Oreochromis niloticus: one gene and its partners. The protein of the gene in region 3 interacts with the protein of the main gene of each other region in a pairwise test. Links are inferred from orthologs where the notes say so. Each region holds a gene or a part of one and is shown on either strand. Other genes may lie near its edges. The genes, in order: ccnl1a, hnrnpul1 and prpf40a.

Region 1 (7,123 bases), on a different chromosome or scaffold from region 3:
GTCCTAGTTTGCAAAGGAATCAAAATAAAATATCGTTTCCCTCTTGCATTTAAAAGAAAGAAACAAAACAAAATTTAAAAAAGAAAAAAGACAGTGCCCTTCTGAATTCCTGCGCCCCTTCGTTTTTCCCATTTCAACCAACTTAAAGCAACAGTTAACTGTTTGCATGCCTGACAGTTTGCTGGGGTTTGTGGACTCCTGTGGTTCCAGTGAAAGCTTGTGAGATTCAAAGACAGCCCTCAACCCAAAAAACACACCCTGTGCCACAGCCTTAACAGAAATATCAACTTGGTGCTAACATCACTAATTCACTACAGATGTGTTGAACCTCAAGCTTAACGCTACTTTAAAATAAAAATGGAAAGCCACTATTACTGTACTCCGTCACAACTCATTCTCATCTATATTCTTATACTGTATGTCAGTATACTGCAAATTAACTGACCAAAACCATGGGCCAGAACCATCGTCTGGATGCAGACAATCCAGACTTGGAAGGAAAACACTCAGAGCAGGGATTTTTTTGGATCAAGTGACCCTTCACATACTGTACTGTCCCACAAAACATTCCACTGATGAAGACAAACTTGTGGAAAGAAAATCCACAACAAAATTTAAAAAAAACAAAACAAAAAAAACGAACGAACAAAACTGATACACCGTCTGCTCAAGTTGCCCGTCATCGTGCTCACAAGATGAATTAAAATCTGGAATGGAATTAAACCACAATGATTTGTGAGAGTCATTCATTATATAGCATGACCCCTGACAAACCAGTAAAATTCAATTTAAAGTTCAGAGTCTGCCATTCTAATGTCTCAAATATACTCTAATGTGAATGTTACACTACAAACCACATGCATGGTAAAAAGTGAAAACAAAAATAACCTCTGAGGACTAAAGACAATACAACAAGCACAAATCCCAACCCTAACATTACACCTCTTTTATATATACACCTCACAGCTACACTTAAGAAATGCAAAATCAAATTAACAGCATATAATGGCAAATTGTTGAAGCTAAAGAACATGCACTGACCCTCACTCAACAAAAACCGACAGACTCACAGTAACCAACTAATCATTCTAATTCTAACACACGAGATGATACTTCTTTAAAAGCCATGGTTGCAGCTGGTGGTGGATGGGGTGTTGCTCTTTAAGCACAATTAAAATGCATGGTGAGGAGCAGTCAGAGAAGAAAACTACATTACCCAAGGGTCCGCAGAATGACGGACAGATACCCAAAGCTTAAGACTGAACCACAGGAGTCCTCAAGGCGCCCCGGGGGCCAAGGACCTTCGGCCAACCTGTCATCCCCGATCCCAGTGCCCCGCGGTGGCTCAGACCACGGGAGTCTCCCGCAGGAGGGGGTGGGGTGGGCCTGGGGGAGGAGGGAGACCCCCCTCGCATCATGGTTCATGCCGACAGCTTCATCTTACGTACCATTCCACATCACCCAGGCTTTGGTAAATGTAGCTGGTCGCTGTTAGTTGGTTGCAAGGGAAAAAAGAAGTCAAGTTAATGCCAAAATCTGTAATATTGACATCAACAGATTTGTATGAAGACACAGGTACAGCTGCTTTGTCTGTGACTGTGTCTTACAAATAATAGACTTGAATTTTTGAAGCCAGTTGTTTGAGGCATTAATTTCAGTGCAATGTCAAACTGATGTTAAATGTAGACAATTACACTGCAAAACTACCAGTGAAGCGGAAACTGAAAAGTTTTAAAATGGTTTAGAGTACATGGATAAACAAAAGGGCACTTTCACAGCAAAAACACAGATCAGCATCAAACATTACATAATACAAAAATAAGAAAACAAAAACAGAATAAAAAAACATTGCAATGCAACATTTTTCACATATTAAATAATTATTTTCAAGAGGAGAACATTGGATTAATTTGGAGTGCTTACTTTTTTCCTCTGAGCTGCTTCAGGTGATGGAAAACATTAATGACATCTCGTATTCGCCGTGGTGCTTCTTCTATCTTGGAGGCCAAGTTGATGCAAGCCATGGCAACAATCTGGAAAATAAAATGATAAGCAAACAGGAATGTTTACTACAGGAAGCTGAGCTCAAGTTATCAGAACACAAACACGAAACCAAAAATAAAGACAACAATATAAGGCTATCCTGTTTTGTTGTGGGGGGTGATGTGTACTTTTCACATACCCTATCCTATCAATCCACTCTACAAACGTAATGATGTACTAAAACAAATGCTGACACTACAATAGTGCAAGTGTTTTAATGCAGTGCTATTGTGTACTTCGAGTCTGTGCTCAGTTTCGCACTCATAGGAGGTCCCACTTTATCGTTGAGTTCTTTAACTGGTGGAGTTAGACTCGACAATATGGCTGCCACTAACGTAGGTACAACGTTATGCAATGCTATGCTAACAATACCGGCCGACCAGCGGCCCGGCAACACTCCGGAAACTCTTAACACACTTACCTCGAAACTGTGCTTGACGAAGGACTTGGAGTAGAAAAAACGATGGAAAAGTACTTGAGCTGTTGCCATTGCGACCTGTCGAACGGGGGCGAAAAAAGAGCATGATAATTGTACTTCGTCTTGTGTAAACTGGCCTAACCTTGCACAATGGATCGCCGCCATTTTAATTCCACCACGCCAACGTCAAGAGCTAACATTTAGCACACCGCTGACAACTAGGCCGCAAAAACTACAAGCCACATTAACTTTCGCCTATTATTATCAAACACCCAGCACTAATGTAGTGCAGTCAAGAGCGCTTACCTGTGGCAACCGGAGGAGAATACCCGCTGACTGAATCAGCTCACAGCCAAGAATACGAAGGTCGGCCTCTGTGTTCAGGTCGAGGCCGTCGAACATCGACGGCGTCGTTGAGAGCCTTTCCTCCGGTACAAGCGAGTTGTCGATTGTAAGGTACACTTCTGAGTAAAATTTGTCGCCAATGAGAATCCCATCATTGTTAGTGGAGGCATTGGAAGATACAGAGAGAGGACCTGCGGCCATCTTCACCTGAAAAACAACGGTTAGCAGCTACAGCGAACACAGCCTCCACACGGTAACAGCGGAGCAGGGTGACTGGCGAAGTGCGTGACGTCAACATGCAGTTCAGATGGAAACGCTGTGTACATCCGCAGTGGTAAATAGTCTCGCAACATTGACTCGTTAAAATGTACAAGTGCACGTAACCTGAATGTATTTAAATATTCTAAATATATGTTACAAATATTTTAATAATAAGCAAAACAATTCACCTGGTATATAATGTTTCATTGCTTTCCGTTTTAAGCTACAGCAAACTCTTTGCTTCAATTTCACCTTTAAAATCCTGTGTCAAAATACTTCAGATAAACACCATAAACAATTTAATCCCGAAAACAAAATGTACTTGACGCATGACTCAAATCAGTTTTATTACTGGCACTACATTAACATTCACTGTAGCACTACTAGTGACAGTTTTCTACGTATTACTCATTAAACGTCACTGCCGGTAATGCCTGCTAAATTTCCGACGTCACCCAAAGGCAGCAGAAGAGAACACATCGCCACTGGTCGCCACCAACGGTTTCTGTGACGTGATTTACGGGAAAGTCCGGACTTGTCACTATTACCGCTAGAACATATCCATCCGCCAATTTAAAATAAAGGAAGAAAATATTAAAGAAATGTATTTTAAAAAGACCAGTTTAAATAATTCCGTTAATAAATAATTAATTGTTTGTTTGGTCTACTCACAGACTACGGGGAGTTGTTGTATTTCATCTTCAAAAAAACTCAGAAAATTAGGTAGAATGAATTGTGACTAACTGTTAAACTTAATTTTAAGACTTGCCTGGGGAGCAGTTTTGACTTTGCAATTCTGTATGCAGGTTTTATATCCCAAACATTAAAGTAAGATACAATTTCAAAATAAATCCTCAAAAAATTGACCAGAAGTGTTACCAAGATTGCTGTGAAGTGGCACTTACTTCCAGAAGGACTATGATCATGTCAAAGACGGCAACAACACAGTATTTAATGCGGGGAACACTTTGTTCAGTGACAGCTCAGCTCACAGGATTTTATTGCCTGAAGCCTTGTAGTTACCAAAAGCAGTCAGCAGAGGAAAGTAGAGACCCACCAGTTGCTACAAGAGAAGCTCTGCGGTTCCTCAGGTCATTCAGTTTATTCTGTGTGGACTTGCATGCTCATCATGCTCATCTTGTCCCCTTTCTCCTTCAACAAACCCACAGGCACTACAGTTAACTGATGACCAGAGTAAATGTCATAAAATGTTTCATCTTTACTCACAAATATGTCTTTGCTGGTTTACCTGTGGTTCTCTGCCAGTCTATGACACAAAGACTTTCAATGTAGCTTTTTTATTTTTTATTCCTGTAGTTTTATTGATCTTTTATTCCAAATGGGCAAAACATTGTGTTCACTTGTTTGAAGTGTGTAGTAGCTGCTGTTAGTTTGTACTGTTAGTTTTTGAGGTTGTAATCATCGTGGTGCCCTCTTGTACAGGCTGTCAGACTGTTTAATGTGAGCATTTGATGGAAATAAAACTACTACTTGTCTAATCTACCAAAAGTTAGTCAAATTAGTCAAAAATAAATGGATTAAATATAAAGTGCAGTTCTTAATCGATGATTTGTTTTATGAAGCTGGGGGGGAAAGCCATTAAAACCTACCTTGCCCTGTGTGAAAAGCTCCCTGCTCCCTCTTGTTAAATCATGGATTAACTGTAATTAAACAAGTTTTTTTTTAGAAAACTGAGTTAATTTCCTGAGCCACACCCAGGCCTGATAACTGCCAGACCTGTTGAATCAAGAAATCACTTAACCTGTCTGACAATGTGAAGCGGGCTAAAAGAGAAATGCATCGTGCCATGATCTAAACAAGTTCAAGAACAGCTGAAACACAAAATCATTGACATCTATCAGTATGAAAAGGGTTACAAAGCTATTTCTAAGCCATTATCCAAAAATGGAGAAAGACTGGAACAGTGGCGGACCTTCCCAGGAGTGGCCACCCCACCAAAATTATTCCAAAAGGGCATCAACTCATCCAGGAGGTTGCAAAAGAACCCAGAACAATATCTAAAGACCCACAGGCCTCACTTGTTACAGTTAAGGTCAGAGTTCATGAATCATAATAAGAAAGATCCATCCATCCATCAATTCTCTTTCGCTTATTCAGGCCAGGTGGTGGGAGCAACAGCCTAAGCAGAGAAGCCCAGACCTACCTCTCCCTACCCCCCTCAGGGTTATCCATGGGAACACCAAGGCGTTCCCAGGCCAGCCAAGAGATATCTCTTCAGTTGTCCTGGGTCTGCTCCGGGGCATCCTTCTGATGGGACATGCTGGGAACACCTCACCCAGAAGGCGCCCAGGAGGTACCCCTGTCAGATGCTCGAACCACCTCAACCGGCTGCTTTCAATGTTAAGGAATATTGGTAAGGGATGGGAAGTGATAAGAACTTAGCCATTCTGATTCTATGATCTATTTTACTTATTGATTCAATTCCTTATCAATTCTCTTAGCGATTCTTATTGGGTTCTCACTAGCTCCGCTCTGCGAGTTACCACCATTACCAAGCACCACATTACATTTATGCAAATTAATTGCATGTTGTGTGGTCTAATGTTGTGATCAGTGTTGAGTCATTACTCAAAAAAAGTAATTATTACACACATTACACATAACATTTTTATTACATTTTTATTACACATCACATCTATCACATCTTTCTCTTAGCATTTAGGTATGAACACAAAGCCAACAACACAAAACAAAGATGAAATTCAGCACAAATACACTTCAAAGTAATTGCAACAGTTATTCTAATGTAGAAACACAAGCAGGTAGAAATGAAGGCTGCAGCCTGACTGCTCATCCGCTTGCTACCGATGAAGTTCAGCAGCAGCTGGCCTCACCACAGCTCACAAATGACAAGGAGCCAGGCTTGGGGAGGGTGCCTGAGGTCAAGTGCCTGGTGACTGGGCCTTAGGCCATGGGGCCCTGCTGGTTACAGCCCAAAGAAGGGACATGGACTCACATTCCTGTAGGCCCACCACCCGCAGGGGGCACCATAGGGGTCGGGTTCAATGTGTGCCAGGCGGTGACCAAGGGTGGAGATCCTGGCAGACCGATACCCAGCTAACGAGAATAAGAAAGAGACTGGGCAAAAACAACACCCATAGAAGAATTCTTTGTCAAAAAAACATCTTGATGATCCCAAGACTTTTGGGAAAATATTCTGTGGACTGACGAGACAAAAGCCAAACTTTTTGGATGGTTTGAGTCCTGTTACATCTGACATAGAACTAACACAGCATTTCATGACATACCAGTAGTCAAACATGGTAGTGGTAGTGTGATGGTCTGAGACTGCTTTGTTGTTTGCCATAATTAATGGAACCATGGATACTGCAAAGAAGAGTGGGCCAAAATTCCTCCACAGCCTCATAAAAGACTCAGTGTCCATTATCACAAATGCTTGACTGCAGTTCTTGCTGCCAAGGTTGGCGCAACCAGTTAGTAGGTTTAGGGAGCAATTACATTTACACACAGGGCACCTATACCAGGTAACAGGTCATATGTTTAAACTCAGAGAAAAAAAAATGCAGACGTTAGCTGAACTGACAAGGAAATTATTGCCCAGGCTTAAAGTTTGATCCGTCCACGGTATCACAACCTGTCTGCGGGTCTGTGAAGCATCTACAGGACAGTCATAAATATTTACCCATGTCACACACCGCATGAAGTGACAGACTGAGGTGTCTCACCCCCCACCCTCCCACCCCAACACCTACAACTAGCACCTCCGGCCCCCAGCGCTTACGCAGTTGCCACCACGACAAGAATACAAGCATTCTTTCTCTGGTTGCCTTGGTGACACTAATTATGGGGTGTGGGAGGGCTCACGGGACGGCCGAATTCCGAAACGACCATATCGACGTAGGACAAAGGCGTTCAGGGACGCCCAGTGACGAACAAGGGCTTAGTTATACACACACGCCACTCCCTGGAGCGTGTGTGTGTTTACGAGGAACTTGCACAGATTCCCCAGAGACACGTGTGCATGCCTGCCCTGCTATGATAATTACCTTGCGGAGATCACACTCCCAGTGTGTG
Region 2 (7,607 bases), on a different chromosome or scaffold from region 3:
CAAAAAAGTCAAACACAAGTTTCTCTTACAGAGTAAGATTTCTGTTTGCCTAATACATATATATATATGTGTGTGTGTGTGTGTGTGTGTGTGTGTGTGTGTGTGTGTGTGTGAGAGAACCAGAAGGATTACTTGACATTAGTTAAAAAAAAAAAAAACAAAACCAAAACAAAAGTTAACTAGAGCTTCTATAAAAATGGTGTTTTCAACTACATTGGTTTAAAGGCCAACAGGGTAATGCTATTCTTACATTTGACGATAATGCTTGTTAATAGTAAAGTTTCCCCATCCACTATATCAATAATTAACACAAAGTTTTCATGTATCAGTAATCATTACACAACACCAAATTGGTAGCATTTCATAAAATAGGTCTGACCTCATCAGCACAAATGTCTAGTTTTAAAACTACTAAGCCTTTGGAGAAACGCATCCATCTACCTTCATCTCATAGCACACGCGTCCCTGGGTGACTCCATGAGTTGCTCGTGCCCCAGCCCAAAGGTAAGCAAAGCCTTCAATGGTCAGTGGATAACCACTGTAGCGATCTCGGGAAACTTTGAAGTGCAAATCACAATTGTCTGAAAACCAAAGAGTTAAGCACATTTAGATAAAACATCAAACACATCTATATCAGCCATAAGATGGTAGTCTACATCTAGTCCGCTTTTCTGCAGCTATAGTGTGCGCTCATGATCATTGTAGATTAGAGCAGAGCATACATATATCAAAATGTTACAGGTAATCCATCAACAAAAGCATGTAGTCAATAACTGACTCTTTGTCTGCTACAACAGTCCAACTTCCCATAGTCTCTGGTATTTATAAACAACCATAGACAGCACACTGATACTAGTTTTTTCACACACTATTTAAATGTACCATACTTACATGTATCAATTGTAACAAGAGTGTCGTCTATGTTCTCCTCTTCATCTTCAGCAGGAGGCTGTGGTGTTCGGGATCTGTATAATAACACCAGAGTATTTATTGTAGTACACTTTGTGTTATCCATTCCGAGTGTAGACAGTTGTGTTAACTTAGAAAACCATGTAGAAGTTCACCTCTTCTCCTCACGGTGCTCATAATAGCTGTAGCCCCTGTTCTCCTCATATGGCCTCTTACGTCCATAGTGTCCACCTCTCTCAGCTTCAGTTTTGACTTGCTCTGGCTGGCCCGCGGTATCTTCCCCATGCGGCTGTTCGTGCTGATTATCTTGTTGCCTTTCACCTGCACCCTCAGATTCATCTTCCATTTTGACCTCTACTTTAACTTCTATAATTAGACATGAACACACATAACACCTTTTAGCATGAAAACAAGTTCATGAAATTTTTCTACTAGGTATGAGAGCAGTTTGAGTGTTTGGTTTACATGTCTTTACTGTATTGCCAAAGTCCACAAGGAAAATTTTACACTACCTTTAGCATCATTTAGTTTAAGCAGATCACTGGGTCATTGTGCCACCTCTGCATGTCGGCAGTAAGTAACAGTAAAACGTTTGAATCTCTGAAAAGCGTTTCTATTCTCAACCAGTGCCATCAGAGATGAATACAAGACTATAAAAATCAACTGTGTAATAAAAGTAATGAAAAATTACCTTGTCTATTCTTTTCATTCTCCTCCTCTTCATTCTCCTCCTCCTCCACTTCCTTTGTTGCAGGCTTGGTCTCTTCCTCAGACATCATGTCAGTTTTCTGAATATCCTCATCTGCTGTGAAGTCAGGCACATTGTGGCCTGAGTCTGAAGGAGTCTGACTTTCATACGGGTTACCTTCTGCCTCCTCTTCTTCATAGTAACCACCTGAATCTCGGCCCTCATCTTCATCTTGAGGGGCATCACCTTCAGCTTCATCACCTTCAGCTTCATCACCACCACCATAGTCCTCAGCTGCTTCTGAATCTGGAAAGGTAAAATTTTAAACTTAGTTTAGGTGTTCTCTAGGTTGTAAAGTAAAGAGTTTGTTGACATTTCCCAACTTTGAAACTTTAATTTATACTCAAGCACAGTGAAGTGCTTAAAATGTAATGCCAGCAAAGGGCAGAAATTGGATCAAAGTCCAAAACAACGTAATAAAACTAGTTTCATGGAAGTGAAATGTTTAATGAAATAGTACTTTACCCTGCTGCTCTTGTGGATCCGTTTCATCTTCATTGTCTTGGTAGTCATCACCGTATTCCTCTTCCTGCTGCTGATCCCCTTTATCCTCTTGCTCACCAGCATCAGCCTTAGCTTCAGCCTCCAGAGCGGCTTTCAGCCTCTCTACGAGGTCTGCCTTCAGGCCTCTGGTGTCCAGGCCACGGCGCTGGAGCTCTTCTTTTAACTCATTGACTTTCAGTTTCTTCACGTCAACACTCATTGTGATTTTAGATGTCTACTCGGTGGCTGTTGTCTTTATTTGCTACAAAAAATGGGGGGGGGAATGGTCAGGTACTTCTAAAAACACTGCCTTATAACTTTCAAATGTTATCTGCTGCGCGGCACCGTGTCCACAGCCTGGCTGCGTTAGCCGTTTAGCTAAGCTAGCAACGCTGGACAGATTCTGTAAGACTAAAGAGTGTTCCACTACACGTCTGTGAACCATTAAACTCGTGTTTTATTGCAGCCGTTACCAATATAACCATTTGCAAGACAAAACTATCCCTAAAATAGATGCTAATGCTATTACTCGTCTGAAGATCTCGCTGAGCAGCTAACGTTCTTAGCCTAGCATTAGCTAACGTACCGACAGCCGCTGCAAGGGAAGAAACTTTAACTCAGACAATAAGCAAGCTGCAACCCATACTTTGTCTGCATGCAAGTCCAGGAGATAATGCACTGTGCACTCCGCTTATAGTTTAGAACTGAAACAGAATATATTTACGAAACAAGGTTGAGGCCTACCTCCTTTCACCCAAGTTGCGCGGGCAAGTCGTGTTAGAAGACTGAAAGAGTTGCTACCGCCCCCTGGCGCCACAAACCTGACCAAACTCAGAACCGGAAGTTAAGCAGAGCCGGTTGGTTGAATTTATTATTCTGCTGCAAATGTAAAACACTGGGATGCACTTCTTTGAGCTACCAAATAGCGCGAGTTTACCATTAACTAATTTGTACCATATAATCTTAGATGAAATCAAAGAGAACGATGTTTTGTATGTTACGCGTTAAGCACTTGGAGCGTTCCAAAGTAGGAAGTGTTACATTGACGTCATCTTGGGTACTGTAGTTTTACAGTAATGTGAAGAAACGCGGGACATCATCCACTCTGGAGGTGCTTTCAGTTTTTATTCGCTTGTTTCGTATTAAACATGACAAAAACGCTATCAACAGCCAGCATATCGTTTTATTTCAATTTTTTTTTTTTCCAATTGTCACCATACATCCAATTACAAACCAGCAATTACAACATGGAATTTTATGGACAGTACAGGGGCAGATTCTCTCAAAAACTAATCCACTGATATGAGCTGGTTTTGTTTTTTGGTGTTTATATTTTTTTTCCATTAATAGTAACTCATAATTAGTATTTAAAAAAAAAAAATCATATAATTCAGCATTTCCAAAGTGATTAAGGTCTACGAGGATCACTGAATTACAAAGAAAGGAATATGCTGAAGCTGTTAAAAATATATATGTATATATCAACTTTAAGGTCACCACTTTAGTTTTTATATACACTCAGTCAACTTTACAATGAACATGCAAGGTCAGCCAGTGAAATTCACTATGAATATCATAGCAATTCCCTTTTTTTTTTACAACTAGTTGCTCAGAACATGAGCAAATGACAGTACCCAAATCCACATTGCAGTGATATACTTATATCAACCTCTTCCACCCAGCTCAAAGCTATGAGGCTGTACATATACACGTGCACTCACTCCTTCACCCCACAACCCGACATTATGCCTTGCTGTATAGCAAACAACTAAATTTGTTACTTTTTGGTGGGAACAGGAAATGACAGCAGTTGCCTGTTGACCTCTCTCAGCTGCGCACTTAGAGTCTCTGTCGTTAGGGATAATTCTGCCAGTTGCGTCTGTAGGCTTATGAGGGTCTCGTTCAGCTCCTCCTCTTTACGGCGAGAGTTAGCCGCCTGCCTGCTGTACTCTAACACCATGCATCCACCACCAATGAGGAAGATGATTGCCTCCCCCAGTAACTCGGCGCCCAGCTCTGCTGCCGATTCCTCGTTCAGCGGCTTAATGGTGGCTCCCCTGAAGCCCATGATCCGCATCTTTGTTCTCATCTCAATCCAGTGATAAACTGTTGGAACAAGGAGCATACAGTATATAAGGAAAGAGTTGTTAGACTTTGAATATGTTTGGGTCCTGTTCACTTTTTCATTAAAAGGATCAGATAATCTGGTCAAAAGTTGTGAATACAGGAGAAACTGCATTTATGGTTTAAGATGCATGTCATCATTGCACTATAATTTATTATAATCTTCTACCCAGCTGAGATTCACGGTCTAGGCAGCACTATGTTTTCAGGAGGCTTTGTAACTTCAGGTGATGGACAATTGCAATCACTGAAATAATAATAAAGTAAAATGTATTTCAAGATGTTTTAGAGGAGAATTTCAGCCCAGCAGTCCATACCCTGAAGCACGGGAGAGGTTGTGTAATGCTATGTACAAGACAATAACCTAAAGGAGATCCACGACCTTAACCCTAGTGAGATGCTGTGGCTAAAAAGGGCCGTTCAACTAAAGCATCACATAAATCCTGAACTAAAACAGGTTTTGCTGGGAGTTGTCCAAAATTCTCCTTCATTGTTGTGCAACTCTTATAAGCAATTAAATAACATGCATACCAGAGACTGTGGCTGCTAAAAAGGTTTGTATGAGGAATTATATTTACATCTTCACTTACTGTTCTAGCTGCAACTGAACTTTTGTGCAATAAATAAAGACAACAAAGAAGTTGAAGAGTTTATCATTTTATGTAGGTTATATTTGTCTTCAATTGTGACATAGCCTCCTAGGACCCAGCAATTACTTTTTTATTCAGTGTCCTTTCTAGTGGACAGAAGACTTACTACCTCTCATTCTGCTACCACACTTCAGGAAGCAAAGAGTAGGATGAGGCAGACTGGATTTTATTGAGAACTGCAGAAGGGGAGTCAGTCTTATTGCCGTGAGGAGATGAGCTGGGGGAATGCCAGACATCAGAGCCGAAAGTTGAAAGCTCAGAGGAACACATTTCAGTTTTTGAGGAGCCTGGTTGAAATAGGGTTAAAAATTTTTTAGAATGAAAAGAGGACAACGCTGCACACAACCACCAAACAGGTGATCCTCTGATTAAATCAAACAGAAAACAATCTCAGTGCTCAAAAACCAGAAGGTGGTGGTCATCTCTGAAGGGAACGTAGCATTAATACCTTACTGAAATTGGGTTGAAATTGTTTTTAGCATAAAACATGAAAACAGGAAAGCACTGTCCAAAACCACTAAATCAGTGGTGCTCTTAATACATTACACAGAAATTAGGCAACCAGGTTTCTTTTTTCTTTTTTTTCAGGGCACAAACAAGAGGGAGATGCTCATTTTTGAATGTAGCATTAAAACTGAAACATTCTTCAGCATATCTGTGGTCACCACCTAACTTGGGATCCAAATTTACTGGTTAATAGTTCAAGATTCAGCAGTCCATCAAAGAGAAACATTTTCTTGATGTCAGTGATAAGTGGGAAAAGAATAAAGCCCCATGGAAAGTGAGAAGTCTCTTAAACAGAATGCAAGAAGGTTGCCATGTAAAGATGAATCCCTTCACACTCACGGGTGTCCTGTATGGCAACTGAGAGGCCAAATCCCTCAGAGCCTTAGCTTACATAATATTTCTTGTCCATAACAAATTTTGTGTGTTGTCATTTTGCCCCTGCTCAGACTCCTCAAAAGCTGGTGTACTTTCACCTTATTGCTCTAATGTCTTTCCCCCCTTCACCTCCTGACAGCTCTAAGTATGACTACACTTTCACAGTTTGGAGTAAAATCCTTTCTGCTTCACTCAGCCATCATATATGAAGATAAGACTACCTTTTAATAGTAATCAAACCTTTTATTGCATTTTATCTACTCGGTCAACAAATAATACCATGCCATTTTTTCCTCCAGCACCTTTTCATAAAAGCTCGATTTGATCCATTAATTTACTTAAAATTTTAACGAAAAAATTTTTTAATCTTTAACGAAAAACTGTAGCTTCTTTTTTATTTGTAGCCTTTTTTATTATCTGAAAATGAATGATGGAGAACACAATTACAAACACAACATGATATACACAGTAAGCTTTACTTGCCGCCTGCGAAGTATTCTAAATGACTAACACAAACAAGTCAGATATGCCTAAACAATAGAGCTCAGTGTCCACTTAGCATATTTCTGTCTAATTAAAGTCAGCGTCACATTCTGAATAGGGTGTTAGGACTACAGTTGTCCTGCCGTGCCCTCATTGCAAAGGCTAACACAACCTGTTCAATGACAGACAAGACCCGCCCTTTTAGAGCTTGCCTGGCTACTATTGGTCGAAGATATAAATTCTTAAAGATGATTGGATAACAGTCATTTCAGGTTCATTGTCATTGGTTGTTGCGGCTCTCCATGCTTATCAACCGTCAGAGGTGACTGGACTGAACTCTAAGCCATTAGCAGCCGTTAGCTCAAATTACTCACGCTGTGCCGGCGGCAGGCAAATGTAAGTTTTAAAGAACTCGCTCCTCCGGGCTCCAGCTTTTATCCGGTTAGCCACAGGCTTGCTCATTTGCCTCACTCCGAGGTAAAGGAGCTTGGCGATAGGGAAGGCACCGACAACCATCTTGGCGGAAACGCTTCTCAATGGGGCGGAGTGCGTAGAGGTTACGTGATGACGTTTATGATTGACAAGCCCAGTCACAAATCCGTCCACGTGTCCAAGTCTCGTGAAGTGAAACGCCCTGATTTCCTTACTTATTTGGTTATTTATTTATCGACGTATTTGTTTGTATTTGTTATCTTGTTTTGCTATTAGTTAGAACTCACTTAATGATAAACGTCCCGTCTTTCCCAATTTAAATAACAGCATTGATGTTTGACATTAATTTTCTCTTTAAAAATGAATTAAATAGGTAATTAATTAAATTAATAAAATGACAAACTACTTTTTACGTGGCATCATATTGCATTGCTGCATGTTAGATCATTTCCACACTGCACAACCATTATAAACTACAGTAAGATACTATTTTATGGTTTTATTTTTTTTTTAAATGAGAGAGACTGGTGTATCGGAAGTTATATGCTAATGTATGTAGGCCCAACGAATTAAAACACAGTTATGTCTTTTTAAAAATACATAATTGTGTTTGTAAAACAATAGTCTATTATTATACATGTAACGTAGGCTATATATGGTAGCATATATATGCATATATATATTTCACACAGTTCATAAACTGAAAAAATATATGTATTTCTATTTAAAAGTGAGGGTGTGAATAAAAAAAAAATCAACAGTTACCTGTCTGCGAGATACTAAATAATACGCAACTCCTCCCTCACAGATTATATACTTCACCTGGAACAGCTGTGGTAGAAACACCTGGCTCGGGTTACAGCAGTGAAGAAAGCCGAGGGGCTGGACTATCAGCC
Region 3 (7,615 bases):
CTTCTTTCCCTAGACTTCATAAGGCACAAAGAAAGAAAAGAGAAAAAAACCCCAACACAAACAAATCTATGAGGTTACTACAAAGCTCACCTGTCCCATTGGCGGTGCCCCCATTGGTGGCATTATACCCGGGGGAATTATACCAGGAGGCATTGGTGTCATGCTGGGAGGTCGCTGTCCCATAGGGGGCATTCCAATGGGAGGGAAATGAGGCGGTATTCCAGGTGGTCCCATCTTCATAAAAGAAGGAAGACAAAAACATTATATTGTAGTTAGAAGAAATAGTTTCTTAACCCTCTGAAATTACCTGGATCTCTGCAGTGTTCCACATAATATGCAATCTAACATTATTCTGAATCACAGTTAATTACACATAATGAGTAAGACCTAAAAGGGGGAAATGAAAGAAAGCAAGTGCAACTCTCTGCTCCTTCAAAGGCTAATTTAAGTTAGGTGTTCTAGCTGAAGAGATAAAATAGGGAGTGTGTGAACACTGGCTGCCACAGTGTGTGATGAACATGGTGGGGGAACTGTGCTTCAGTCACACTAACTTTCACAGGACCTTAGGAGAAACACTATACATGCGCTAAACTGGAAAGAGCAAAAAAAAAAAATCAAATCTACAGATGTGGAAGTTCTTTGAATCAAAGACAAACTGACTAAAAATTTGGGGATCTAGCAAGCGTTTTTTCAAAGTCTTCATTCCACACTTAGTGGTGAAAATTCCACCACAGACACAAATTTTGGCAACCTTTAAGTTACGTATGGGCGACACTTGTTGAACATGACACGCGAAACAAACGCAAGTGAAGAATGTATGATCAAGTTCACAGGAGGACGATTAATACGAAAATCAAAAGAATTGTGATTTATAGTAAATTTATTGTTTTAAATATATAGATGTTAATCATTACTGTGTGAGAGAGAACGTTTGTACAGTTTTGTTGAGATTGGGTCACCTATAAATACATAAATACGAGTAAGACTGTCAGGGTTTCTCCTGCACAGAAAAAATGTTTAAGCCTAAAAAAAATGCTCTCCGTTTCTACCTGTACCTAGACATGGGCCCAATGAGCCCAATATGCAATATTGGAAATCTGCAGAAATGTGTGCAAGTTGATAAAATCAATGTCTGGAAAGGTCCTTTCTTTCTTTCCTTAAAAAAAGAGGAAAAAAAGGGAGTTTGTATCATTATTTAAGCAGCTATTGGAAACAATTTTTGTAAGATGTTGCTGCTGTTATAGGAAGCAAGAGTTTACTGATATTCTTGCCTAAGTAATTTATTCATATAATTGCCTATTATTCTAACTTTAACCCCCAGCAAATTTATAAGTAATCAATGCAGAAATTCAAAGGATGTTCTTTTAGATCTGTAAACAAAACTGCATTTTGATGACTTACAAATGGGGGAGGTATCGCCGCGGGCGGTACACCTGGATAAGGTGGTGCTTGGCTCGGCCCATTATTAGCTTCCGATGAAGACTGTGAGGAGTAAGAAACACCACACAGAGTTAGTGAACTCCCAACAGCCAGTTCTGCAGTTAGCAGTGTGCTTCAATCATGAAAACTACCATTTCTCCAGATATGTGTTTAATTGTGAAATTAAGTAGTTTACAGTTAATAAATCACTCTAAATAACTCCTTACTCTTCTTTTGGCTGCTCCCAAATAAACAATGTGGATCATAAAGCATTTTTAAATAACCCCCCTCCATTTTTAAATGCACATAAAAAGTAAAGTAATGGCTATATTGCGCATTTCAATTAGTGCAGTTACATGAAACCGCAACGAGTGCGTGAATATTTGGTTTGAAAGTTTAAATGAGGTAGTACTAATCGGGGTGTCAGTAATCAAAACATTATATGAAATCGGTTTGAATTTGACATATATAAAGCTTACAATGTCGAAAGACAAAAGACTAGAAAAATTACACAATCCTCATTTGGGGACAAATTACCAAGCAGTTGGTTTATTTAAAAAACGTATTTATTTAGGATGAAACGGTGCCTACCTTAATCTCTACCTTTTGAACAAGTGCTTCCTTTTTCTTTTTACATAACTAATATTCAAAAGGACTTCCGGCTTATTCAGAATGAATGAGGGTCCTCTAATACATACATATGGTACAGGCAAACACATGAATTTACCTATATCCTGGGTAACAACAAATTAATGCGTGAAGCTTTAACATTTTTTGTACCTGAATAATAAACCATAAGGAATGCCTTGTAGTTTAACCAGACAGCATATTATCATGAAATAGCATAGTAGTGACTGTTTACGATGATCATCATGTGAAATATGGTCTATTCAAGTCCACTCATTTGGGTGCATGAGTGGGATATTCTATTTTACTACCACGAAATTACTACTTTTAACAGATAAAGTTCACTTAATTCCTGACTTAATCTGACCAGTAACGTTGTCTGTGCTAATGTAAATTATGTGGACTGGTAACAATCGTAAAAATCTGAAATAACTGCTGCTGTTTGTGATGAATGACTACAGGCTCCGTCTAATCTCTGGAAATGAATCGTAAAAAGCCAACGCAAGAGTTCAACTGATTAATCATTCAACTAGCCAAATACACTTTCACCACCGTAATTTTACTTCACGAATATCGTAACACGTTTTGCTGTTTTTACACATTAACAAAGCAAAGGGCGTGCTATATCCAAAAAAGCTTCAGCTAAAGGAAACCGTTTATAACACGAAGGTAGGCACATACCGCTTTATTAGCCTACTGCTAACAAGACATGCTAACCCGTGGTCTTTGATACACAGCATTGTTACGGTATAGTTTACAGAAGAAGATGGCTGCTATCCAGGCCTTAAAAATTCATACACCAAGTCTAAACAGTTTTTGTCTTTTTCGTTACCGCTATAAACTATTTTTTGAACGCCTGCACTCACCATGTTGAAGAGAAGAACCTCCGAGAAATTTGAGCACTTCTCAACAACAAGCAAAACGATTGGTTGAGCTTCCGCCTAGCGCTCAGAGGTCAAAGGTAACAATTCTGTAGCGTCATTCTGCGTTGGAAATGCGCACCAATGCGCAACACCACCGTTTCCTCCAAAAGAAACTAGCGTGTTAACCAAGGAAGAAACAGCGATGGAAAAAAGTCCACTTTAAGTCAATACGCAATAGTCAAACTTAAACATAAAATTATATGTTTCTTGATATTAAATAGCTTAAACTAAAAATAGCCCTGCAGCTGCATGAATGAATGAATGAATAAATAAATAAACAAATTCTATTTTCTATTATGAAATTTAATTTATGCCATAAAATATATGCAAATATAGAGAAAGCCACATATACTTATAACTTGTCTCATTAATACGATATATGCTGTGCAACAGTCTTGAGCCAATCCTCATTTCTTTATATTTTGAAAGGGAGAATGGGCAATAGGTGCAACAATTTATTGAAATCTGCGTAAAAGTACATGGAAATAAAAAAAATATAAGGCAAAAACAGAGATTGAATAATTCTAACAGGCTTGAAAATCAATATTTGGTTTGACTCAACAGAGCCTGAAATCTCTTAGGCAAGCTATCTTGTAATTTCTTCAGGAAGGTCTTCATGAACAGTTATCCAGGCTTCTTGAGGGACATTCAAAGTTCTTCTTTGGATGCTGGTTGCCTTTTGTTCTGTTATCTGTCAGGATGATCCCACATTGCTTCAATTATGTTAAGGTCGAGGCTCTGGGGAGGCCAATCCATGATTGACAGTATTCAACTTTCAACTGCTTATCAAACCTGATAAGAAGATTAATGCATATTACTGATCAATTAGTTTATTTTTCATGTGTTGAAGCCTGGCATTGCTTTCAGTGATGGGATGGAGATAGTTGCTCAGTAATAAGAAAACAACATTCCATCCTTGCTTACACCTTCAACAACCATTTTTCAGTCCCTGTGATGGTGCATATGTAAATAAAGTTTCGATCTAGTTGGTTGTACAGAAGAGGAAAAACCACAAATGGATTAATGTTTGTTTGTTTGTTTTTTTCACGTGGCAGGTAATTTCAAGTGCAACTTTTCAAACAGCACAATAAATATGACAAATATGTATATGCGTACATTTGTATATTTAGTTAGCATACACATGTTCAGATAAACCATTTCTCTGCAGATTGTCACAAAATGCGTCTGCTAGCTAAATGTATATTTGTGTAAATGTGCCACACTGATAAAAGGAGAACAAAAAGAAAAAAGAAGAAGAAGACAAGAAAGATGAAGATATGAGATTATTTTTAAAGAAAAGGACTGCTCAGTAAGTAAATGAAATTTTATAAACCAGAAATGTAAATCTTTCCTAATTTCCTAATTCATTTTAGCATTTTTAAATCAGTTGTTGGATCTTACCTAGAGACATTTATGCTAGGTTGCACAAAAATACCAGGCAGTTTCATACAGTTAACGAGAGGTTAGTGCTTATTAGATTAAACTTCTTTAACTGCAAACTAACCAGTGTGAAGATTATGCTGGTTGGTTTGCAGTACTGTCCTGAAGTTTACAGCCATGACACTGTTGGTCTGGTGCAGAGCAACATGTGCCGTTCATGGTCAATGTTAGGATTTACATCAAGGGTAGCAGGCATCAGTTTATATTCACATTTATATTCACTCACCAAATTCTATCATTTAGCTCATGAAACATCTGCTTATATCTTGGTGAATTCAGTTGGCTAAATCCTCGAAGAGCAGGGAACATCAGAGTAGCACCACAGGTCATTCTAACACTTGTAATGAAAAATTGTACTAGCCTGTGCAAAATGAAAAATCTGCTGGAGCTTGAATATTTTTTTCCCTTTCCCTTTTTGTACTGGTACACCTGATCTTAGGGGTCTTTAGCCCCTGTATGCCTGATTCGAAAAGAACTGGAAGAAGAGATTCCAAAGAAGAGCTTTGGAAAGTCCTTCAAAAAGCCTGTAAAATAATTTGTGATGACTACTTACAGGAAGTAACAAAAAGCTTGTTTAAGAGAGCTCAGCCTGTTTTAAAGAATAAAGGTGGTCATACAAAAACTTTTGCACATTACTCTAAACAAATTAAAACACAGATGACATAAATTATTCTGTTGTTGATACAAATGTTTTCACAGAGCCTTAAATAATTAGGAACGTCTGGTAAAAGGTAATTGTCATTATGGCACTAATTTATGAACTGTTAAATCCTTATTTTTAACTTTTAGTGTTCGTGAATGAATACCGATCAGGTTGCTCTTTACACCGTAACAGAGAGTGATTCCCTTTTTTATTTTTGATGTTATAACAGGTACCTATTTCAGAAGCTGAGGTAGCTGGTGTTCAGACACAGCAAAATTACCTCGGTGTATTGGGGATCATTTGAAGGACCGGCTGTGATTTTCCAATTATTGGCTTCTGTGACACAGCTCTCAGGCCTCTGTGGTGCTGCAAAGACTCCCCATGACAGCGGAAATTATAAAGCAGTCAGTCTACACAGTTTACCTTTAAGTGTCTTTCACATGGCTGCAGCACTCACTCTTTCTCCTTTCCTTCTTGCTTCTGCATTCCGGTCATATATTTTCCACACAAAACAAGGTTAAGGAGTAGCTCACCCATTAAGGTGTTTATTCAAACAGAAAATTAGTTTGATGGCCTAATGAACATGTTTTCATTTATTGCTGTTCTTGCTCTGCAGATGGCCTGGACTCTATATTAAGGGTTTTGAACAATCAGATCCGTGCGTGCGTGTTCAGATCTTTTCAAAACGAAAAATCGATTATACAGGTATACGCGATGTCCGGTTTATCTCTATGCCTGTCAGTGCAGTTGTTTACCGGAGCTGTCCCTGGGATTTAGAGTGCTACTGAGGTGTGAAGCATGCAACAAAGAGTTGGAAAACAGATGAGCCCTCACTTGAGGCAGACTGCAATAAACTCTGATGCATTTCCTGACAAGCGCAGGAGAATTCCCTATCGATTATCTTAACAAGCTAAAAACAAAAAAAAAGTCAGTGACAGTGAGGGGCAGAGATGGATCAGTCTAATGATGGGAGTCAGTCAACCACAGTGCATCAAACATGAACAAAAAAACAGCCATGAGTCACCATCACTTGTACATAGCTGCTTTGACAAACTGATTTATTTTTTATGAATAAAGACATATTATATTTAAAATCCTTGAGAATGCTATGATGTTTCTAAACTAGTTTCCACTCTTCAGTCCTATACGCTGTATTTTTATGCGCATTGGTGTTCCATAGTTTCACTGTTTGCCAGAACCTCATTCTTGTGTTTGTGTTTGTGTGTGTGTGTGTGTGTGTGTCTGTCTGTCTGTTTGTTTGTGATTGATTCACAATATTTGATGTGGTCAATGTTTGCTTCTGGCCATTTTACCCAGTGAGCTTTGAGCCCAGCCTGCTGCTGACCTGCCTTGCAGGCACTCTTCTCTCATCTGACAATTGGCTTCCTGTCAACCATAGTCACATTAACTATCAACAAAACACACTATTACAATTCCAGCTTGCTTTTCCATTTCCTCTCATAAAATAAAGGAGCAGAAGAAGCTTTGTTAAGATTTGTTTTTTCTTCTCTCAGTTGCACAGATTTTACAAAGAAAAAACAATTTTGGGTTGTAGACGCATATTAATGGATTTTTTTATGGTTTATTTTAACCGGCTCTTTTTAGTTAAGATTTTTTTTATGTTCACATTGGCCTCCAGTTATTTCTTTGACAATCAAAGGCATGCCGCTTAACCAAAGCTCTTGTGGGTTTTTTTATGTTTCTTGAGAAAATATTTTTTTTCTTTCTAAAAGCCTTTTTAACCTGTGGGTGATTACTGAGCCACATAATCAATGAAATCATGACCTCTCAGCCCTGCTCTTAAAAAAAAAAGTCAAACATGACATATGACATTCATGCTATATGCTGCCTGGTTTATCCGTGACTTTACATTGTACTGCTTCTAGCAATTCAAGAGATTGCAAATTAGAGATGTAATTTTTCTCACCCCGTGTTCTGCAGAGAAAATTTATTGCAGGAGTTGAAAAACTATTTTTGGCAAGATTCTTGGCTGGGGTGCAATTATCTCACACGACACAAATCTGTTGATTGCTGAGCACCAGCTAGTCACAGTCTCTGCTTCTGAAAGAGTTGCTGATTTCACAGATATCAATCATTTTGGTCAAATGGTCTGTTTCTTTCCCTTTGCAATGCCACCCACACGCATGCGTTCGTCGCTTTCTCAGACAGAAATGACAGAAAACCTATGACCACGGCATCAGGGCAAAGCAGAGGAAAGTAAGCAGGCATCTCATTGAATGTCACAGTAAATGTCAGACACTGTACTTGGTGTTATTTGTACACTTTTTAGACTTCACTTAGAAAATCTCTGAAAGATTAGTCTATAGAGTAAAGAGACAACTCGAAAAAGTTGACTGTCTGAGTTGTTGAAATACCACTATTTGTTTGAAAGCAAACGTGTGCATACAACACGTTCACACTGTCTCATCTGCACCCCTGCATGGGTGATCTAATATGTTAACCAACACTGATATATATATATATATATATATATATATATATATATATATATATATATATATATATATATATATAACACCCAGCACGCCCCTGCGGGCGGTTT

The links.
Region 1: the proteins of prpf40a (region 3) and ccnl1a interact in binary tests that used the Homo sapiens proteins (3 or more experiments, as listed by UniProt). The link is inferred for Oreochromis niloticus from reciprocal best matches to the Homo sapiens genes PRPF40A and CCNL1.
Region 2: the proteins of prpf40a (region 3) and hnrnpul1 interact in a two-hybrid assay, tested with the Homo sapiens proteins (2 studies listed by BioGRID and IntAct). The link is inferred for Oreochromis niloticus from reciprocal best matches to the Homo sapiens genes PRPF40A and HNRNPUL1.

What each region holds. Positions count from the first base shown.
Region 1 is NC_031979.2:14,102,093-14,109,215, forward strand, and holds the start of ccnl1a (cyclin-L1a), read right to left. Parts: upstream 3,096-7,123; 5' UTR 3,008-3,095; coding exon 2,768-3,007; intron 2,540-2,767; coding exon 2,465-2,539; intron 2,034-2,464; coding exon 1,924-2,033; intron 1,489-1,923; exon of another isoform or gene 1,426-1,488; coding exon of another isoform or gene 1,313-1,425; intron 4-1,312; coding exon 1-3. UniProt on the Homo sapiens protein: Involved in pre-mRNA splicing. Functions in association with cyclin-dependent kinases (CDKs). Inhibited by the CDK-specific inhibitor CDKN1A/p21. May play a role in the regulation of RNA polymerase II (pol II).
Region 2 is NC_031979.2:33,502,682-33,510,288, reverse strand, and holds the start of hnrnpul1 (heterogeneous nuclear ribonucleoprotein U-like protein 1), read right to left. Parts: upstream 3,043-7,607; 5' UTR 2,885-3,042; intron 2,403-2,884; 5' UTR 2,361-2,402; coding exon 2,123-2,360; intron 1,904-2,122; coding exon 1,601-1,903; intron 1,276-1,600; coding exon 1,065-1,275; intron 966-1,064; coding exon 892-965; intron 582-891; coding exon 442-581; intron 1-441. Other genes in the region: opa3 (optic atrophy 3 protein homolog), read right to left, coding at 3,918-4,246, 6,654-6,795.
Region 3 is NC_031987.2:14,574,991-14,582,605, forward strand, and holds the start of prpf40a (pre-mRNA-processing factor 40 homolog A), read right to left. Parts: upstream 3,057-7,615; 5' UTR 2,916-3,056; coding exon 2,913-2,915; intron 1,483-2,912; coding exon 1,402-1,482; intron 235-1,401; coding exon 91-234; intron 1-90.